2 linked regions of the Arabidopsis thaliana genome follow. The protein of the gene in region 1 interacts with the protein of each later gene in a biochemical or structural test. Each region holds a gene or a part of one and is shown on either strand. Other genes may lie near its edges.

Region 1 (3,200 bases):
ACTAACTGTAATTTTTTTGGTGGTATATAACTTCATGTTGGTACGAGTCCACATTCCACAATACAATAAAAATAAAAGTAAAAAACAAATTGCAAATGCAAATTGCTTATGAAATAAATACGAAGCTGACATTATTAGTACATAGACTACCAAAAAATTCTAAGAAACAGAAAGGTCGACACGATAGGAGGGTCGGTGAATCTAATCAGGTTCGCATTAATGCTTTAATTAGGCGATTCCCGATACGTAGTCTCACGTTACAATTAGTACTAAAATAAACGTAAACCGAACTTAATCTCCTCATTATGTGCCATGTTTTAAATCATTTGTTTTGCGGTTATTACGCTTACTTTTTTCTACATCTTTATTTTATAAAATAGATCATGAAATAGCATGATGAAGGGAGGTTTATAGGTCCCTCGCCTCGTTTTACTCTATGAGCCCATCTTATCTTTAATCATATTCCATAGTCCATACCATAGCACATACAGTAGTTATATGCTGCAGAAGAGATCCAACAAAACATTCACAATGGATTATAGAAACATTTGTTTATTCATTATAATGAGATCTTACATTCATTTAATATTAGAAAAAGCCACAAATTCATAACACAACAAGCCAAGAAAAAAACACAAACTTAAGCACACAAGCTTTTTATTTGACACACCAAATATTTCATCTTCATCTTCATATTCAATTAGCCCCGGAGATATCGATGGACTTGACTTGAGGCTTCTTCTCAGGCGCTTTCGGAACCACAACCGTAAGCACACCATTCTCCATTGTTGCCTTCACTTCTTCCATCTTTGCATTCTCCGGTAACCTAAACCTTCTCATAAACTTCCCACTAGCTCTCTCCACACGGTGCCACTTATCGTTCTTCTCTTCGTTCTCCTTGCTCCTCTCTCCGCTAATCTGCAGAACGTTCTTGTCTTCAACCTCAACCTTGACTTCTTCCTTCTTCAGGCCTGGCAAGTCCGCTTTGAACACATGTGCCTCCGGCGTTTCCTTCCAATCCACTCTTGCGTTTGTAAACGCTGCCACATCACGAGCGGTTGAAGCGTTTGCCAACGCAGAAGATGGCGTGAAGAATCCTTCGAATGGATCCCATAAGTCTTGCGAGAACGGATCAAAGACGTTTGATCTGCGTCCTCCAAAAATGCTTGGAATGAGAGACATTGTTCGTTGCTTTTCGGGAGACTTTTGGTTCTTGATTTTCCTGCTGATTTGATCTGATTAGCAAAGGACATATTTATAGGGAAGTTAGAGGATGAAGAGAGAATGTTCTTCGAGTTTCTTGAATAGAATAGAAAATGCTCCTTTTTCTAAAACCTTCGCTTGGAGTCTTTAGAACACATACACAATGATCACTGTGGTGAAATGACCAGATTTTTCTTGGCATTTCAGGAAGTTTCGTTTGTTGAAACAAGACCGAAATGCAATCCTTGGTTACAATTAAAACTACGTGCCGTTTTGCTTTGTTGTTGTATTATCCTCTTCGAGATACGGGCTCAGTGAAGCGGATCTTCTTTGCAAAAGCCCATTTCTTAATAGGTCGGAAGTGGAATTTAAGAAAATCTAACTCAGAGAAAAGAGGACAAAATCAAGATTTAAGATTATTAGCTTTTCGCCAAAGGAAAACTATAGTAAGTTCTCGCAATAACAGTTGGCACTAAATTTCCGAGAATGTCAACAATCTTTTAATGGATTTTTTTGTCTCCATATATACAAGAACTGAGCCACGTTTTTGTGACAAACATAGACAACATATTTACTAAACAAGTAAACTAAAAAAAAAAAAAATCTAAATGATTCGATTCAAGTATCAGTTACTGTGATCAAAATCTCAACTTATTTATTGCCTGTTCATGTCATGCTTGAACCAGAAGAAATGACCATGGAAAGTAATTGTGATTACCTTTTTGGGAAACTTGGGGTTAAAAATTGAAAATGTGATATGTCATGGTTTTGGTTTCTAATCAATAGAACTTGCATGAAAGAAAGAAAGAAAGAGAAATGAAGAGAAAAGCTTTACATTGTAAAGATGCTACTAATTGAACAAACCTACTTGTCGTCAAAGCTGCAGCAAGCTTGGTCTCTTTTCCATAAGCTCGTACTTGATAACAAAATGTTCCTGCGATAACCATCACCAGCAAAATTCACTCATAACACTGCAAATTCGAGAACAAGGAAATAGATATTCCTGCAATAATCGTCGGCTTACCTTTCTCACTGTTTTGAACGAATTTGGATCAAGGTATTCGTATGTTCCTCTTTCATATGTAGCTGCCCTGACTAAAGGTTCCCCGACTCTGAAGAACCATACTCTGAGTTCCTTGTGGTAAAACCAACCTCTTTCGTAACTGCAACATGTCAATCGAACTCAAAAGTCTCAGCCAAAGAGAGCGGAGTAAACGAATAGATCAAAGATTACAGTAGAGAAAAAACATACAGTTCATCTGCTGCGTACAGCTGTGCTTCATCTTTTGGCATACTGGAACAATAATTAGAGCAAAGTAATAAGTTTAAAAGCCCAAGGTTAATTTAGGAGTTGGGCAAATGTGACGCTGAATGCTGATCTAATAACAGACCTGTAAAATGTGTAGAACAATAACTCGTAGGAGAACCTTTTGAAACTAGCTCGCTGCAACAAACGGAAATAATGACACATTTGTTAACAAAATCGAGAAAATACTTTGTTGGTACTACTCGCAACAACAGAGGGAACTTACAGTTAGAGGCGGAGGTTCTGTGGCGTAGTAACAATTTGGTACTGTGAACTCGACCTCGCTCTTTGCCGGTTCATTTGTCCAAGGAGACGCAAATGTCTTGTAGAGATTTCCAGTTGAATTCAAATCCAATCCTAGCGTCGTCAAGTCGATGCCAAGAGCAAGTGAGGTCAATTCAGGGTTGCTCCTGTTTAGTACGTCTAACAAGCCAAGCAAGCAAAAAGGATCTGCCTCTGACTGTGTCGATTTCATCTCAGAATCTCTAAATTGGTTGATTGATGACATCTGTTGCACAGGGAACTGGGATTGATTTTGATGTTGCTGATACTGCTGAATAAGCTGATCATAACCAATACTGGAAACTGCATTAGGCGAGCTTAGAGGTCTAAGGCCAAGACCCTGTAGCCCACCAGTCTGGTATTAAATAAGAATTAAATGATAAGATACGGTAGTTGGAGCAAGTGTGGC
Region 2 (3,755 bases), on another chromosome or scaffold:
ATATTTGAACTTGCTATAAGTAATTGTGTCATGAAACTCGTAGACGTAAGTAGACTGGTTACTTTTCTACCAATTGAATGATTATAAAGATTCTTAACTTCACAGCTACTGAAAAAAAGAGAACCATCTAAATCCGAATATTTAATTGCCGTGAATTGATAAGAGAATTGCATACCTCGCCGTATCCACAAGCAAAATGCAATGCTGTCCTTCCTTCAGAATCTTCTTCATCTTTGTTACCACCAGATGCCAAGGCAGCTTTCAAACCCTAATGAATCAACGAATAAAAATCCAATAACGAGTTCAACAAAACAAAACTTGGAACATCTAATTCCTCAAGCAACACGCAAGATAAATCTCACATGGTCAAGCATATTAACGTAGGAAGCAGTCTAACCTCAACATCACCAAGACTGGCAGTTTGGTGAACAATAGACTCTTCTTCTTCACCTTCTTCTGCTACCTCAGGTTCAGCTGAAACAGTCTGGTCTGGTAAGCCAGCAACAGGCATACCCATTGCTTCACCCAGCTTTTTCAGCACTTCTGGATCATTCCAGTACCTAAAACAGAATAAATAATTCTTCCTTCATAAACAGAAACAAACTCTACAGTTTCTCTAAAAAACATTGAAAGAAGTTTGTATCACTCACTTCATCATGGCAGAAGGACCACCAGCATCAATCTCATCTAGTATAGGTTTCAACTCTGGATCTTCTTTCATCCGCGCCATACGCTCAGTAAAGTGTTCTGCTGTTTCAGGATTCGAGAAAGCATCCAAAAAAGGAGACATTTGTGGATCCTGTAGGCAAAAAAAATAAATAAAATCAGATAAGACACAGAGCTTCATTCAAAGCCACACCTCGATTAGATGGAAAAAGTCATCAATTCCTAACCTGAACTAAGGCGGTACCAAGTTTCTCGGCCATTGTCTTAAACTCAGGGTTATGCATAACCTGTTGCATTGTATTGACATACTGTTGAGGATCAAAGTTAGGGAAACCACCTTCCTGGCCAGCGTTAGGAATAGATCTCTGAAGCTGCTCAGCCAATTGGTTAAACGCAGGATCTTTAGCTATTTGCTCAGCCATTTCTCTGATGCTAGGATCCTACAAAAAAAACCATTATCAATTAAAAAAAAACTCAAAGAAGATAACTTTTCAATTGTGCTAACAGCAAAGGTAACTTACGTTGAGAATACTAGCCATATTAGAGAAATCAAAAGCATTGAAATTCAAGCCAGGCATAGCTGATGAAGTTGAACTCCCAGAAGCTGATTCCGGCTTAGAACTCTTATTCTCCTCCGTCGATTTGGGTTTCTCATCTACAGTAAACAAATTACAATGAACCAATAACCAAATCTGACTAGAAACGATTCATTATCGCAGATCAGATTGTATACTGAGAAGAAAATAATCACCTGAAAGAAGAGGATTTTTCTCCGAATTGGAAGCCATTAAGTATGACTAAAACCCTACAAAAAACACAATTTTGTTTTCAGGAAAAGGTGTAAACAAGAGATTCAACGAAAATAAGCGAAGAGGAAGACAAAGAAATCGAATCGACAACTACCTAAGAGAATTTAGTAAGAAAAGGAAGAAGAAGAAGAAATTAACCCGAAAAGACAATGTTGTGGTGGCAAACGCTCATGAAACTTGAAATACAGATAATCTTTCTTTTTTTTAATATGACGACAAGAGAAAAATTATTTATTTATCAGCTGGATTTTGGATTGAGAAGAAGATCAACTGCGAGGGACAACAGCCACTGCTTCTCCATTGAAGTTTGAACCTAAAGCTAAGAGGCCTTTTATTTTTAATCAAATTTATTGTTATTGGCCCATATAAACCTGTTTACCTCAAGGCCCAAGCCCATGCGTTTGAATAATAAGATCAGCCACGTAAGATTTGTGATTTAAGATCAAATTATCCGTTAATGGATAAACACGCGTCACTTCACGGAAGCAGCCGTTCATGGCAGCCACGCTTCCACTCTGTGCTGCCCTCCGATCTCCCGTCTCTTCCCGGAGATTCGCTCCAATTCACAAAACCGACGTTCCTTTTCAGTTCAATGTCGTCCTTTCACCGTTTTTCGGTTCCGTCGCTATTGGCGGTAGAATTTTCCCGCGTTTACCGGCGGCGAAGCAGGAGACTGATCAGGATGAGGTTGGATTTGATCAGCAGCCGTCTCAGGAGCTTGCGATAGCGTCGGCTTGTTTGGTTGGTGTTCTCACTGGAGTTAGTGTGGTTCTATTCAACAACTGTGTTCACTTGCTTCGAGACTTTTCCTGGGATGGGATTCCTGATCGTGGAGCTTCGTGGCTTAGAGAGGCACCGATCGGTTCCAATTGGTTGCGTGTTATCCTTGTTCCGACTATCGGCGGTTTGGTGGTGAGCATCCTCAATCAGCTTCGAGAATCTGCTGGAAAATCTACTGGAGATTCTCATTCTAGTCTCGATCGCGTAAAGGCAGTGTTGCGTCCTTTCCTTAAGACTGTTGCCGCATGTGTGACGCTTGGGACTGGAAATTCGCTGGGGCCGGAAGGTCCAAGTGTTGAAATTGGAGCGTCAATCGCTAAAGGTGTGAATTCTCTGTTCAATAAAAGTCCTCAGACTGGCTTCTCACTTCTTGCCGCTGGCTCAGCTGCTGGCATTTCCTCTGGTTTGTTCATCTGATATTTGCTAATGTTGTTCTCTCTTGCGTATGGAACTCTTGATTGATTCGTTAAGAGGACTTTGTTATATGTTGTTACAGGGTTCAATGCAGCTGTGGCTGGATGCTTCTTTGCAGTTGAATCCGTTTTGTGGCCTTCTTCATCAACTGATTCATCAACTTCACTTCCAAACACAACTTCTATGGTTATTCTTAGTGCTGTTACTGCTTCTGTGGTTTCCGAAATCGGTCTCGGCTCTGAACCTGCGTTTAAGGTTCCTGACTATGACTTCCGCTCTCCTGGAGGTAATATGCATTGCCATTCTTATGCTTTTTACGCAAGGGAACCAGAAACCAAACTTATGAGAGCTGGTCACTGATTTTCAGAACTTCCACTCTATCTTTTATTGGGCGCTCTGTGTGGCTTGGTCTCGTTGGCATTATCTCGATGTACATCATCCATGACATCTGCTGTTGACAGTCTTAACAAGGATGCTGGGATACCAAAGGCTGTATTTCCTGTAATGGGTGGATTAAGTGTTGGTATCATAGCTTTGGTATACCCTGAAGTATTATACTGGGGTTTTCAGAATGTGGATATTTTGTTGGAGAAACGTCCATTTGTGAAGGGTCTTTCAGCTGATCTTTTGCTTCAGCTGGTAGCGGTCAAGATAGCTGCAACCGCATGGTGTCGGGCTTCTGGACTTGTCGGTGGATACTATGCTCCTTCTCTCTTTATTGGCGGGGCAGCAGGAATGGCCTATGGAAAGTTTATTGGACTTGCTTTGGCTCAGAACCCTGATTTCAATCTCTCTATCTTGGAAGTGGCATCTCCACAAGCTTATGGTCTGGTACTGTTCTTATGTGGTCAATGTTTCAAAATTGTCTTAATTTCAGACTTTCTTGATTGGTTACCTATCAATACTTTGAACAGAATATTTTTTCGGGTTAACTGAGAATGGATGCTAGTTTTTTTGTAGCTTCATTGCCAATGATCCTGTTTGTCTCATTGTTTAACAGGTTGGAATGGCTGCTACACTTGCGGGGGTTTGTCAAGTTCCTCTTACAGCAGTACTACTGCTATTTGAACTTACACAGGATTATCG

Evidence for each region.
Region 2: the proteins of HSP18.2 (region 1) and AKR2 form a complex in vitro, tested with the Arabidopsis thaliana proteins (one study listed by BioGRID).

What each region holds. Positions count from the first base shown.
Region 1 is NC_003076.8:24,060,614-24,063,813, reverse strand, and holds HSP18.2 (heat shock protein 18.2), read right to left. Parts: upstream 1,492-3,200; 5' UTR 1,183-1,491; coding exon 697-1,182; 3' UTR 514-696; downstream 1-513. Other genes in the region: VIP2 (VIRE2 interacting protein 2), read right to left, coding at 2,078-2,137, 2,228-2,366, 2,456-2,497, 2,595-2,647, 2,736-3,146.
Region 2 is NC_003075.7:16,837,561-16,841,315, reverse strand, and holds the start of AKR2 (ankyrin repeat-containing protein 2), read right to left. Parts: upstream 1,785-3,755; 5' UTR 1,570-1,784; exon of another isoform or gene 1,472-1,569; 5' UTR 1,455-1,471; coding exon 1,418-1,454; intron 1,389-1,417; exon of another isoform or gene 1,322-1,388; coding exon 1,188-1,321; intron 1,107-1,187; coding exon 894-1,106; intron 800-893; coding exon 651-799; intron 585-650; coding exon 398-584; intron 269-397; coding exon 176-268; intron 1-175. Other genes in the region: CLC-E (chloride channel E), read left to right, coding at 1,971-2,658, 2,752-2,955, 3,037-3,500, 3,670-3,755. UniProt on the Arabidopsis thaliana protein: Exhibits chaperone activity toward chloroplast outer envelope membrane, mitochondrion outer membrane, endoplasmic reticulum membrane and peroxisomal proteins, by recruiting specific proteins containing a single transmembrane associated with an AKR2A-binding sequence (ABS) and subsequently binding glycolipids (e.g. monogalactosyldiacylglycerol (MGDG) and phosphatidylglycerol (PG)) present in the membrane of the target organelle.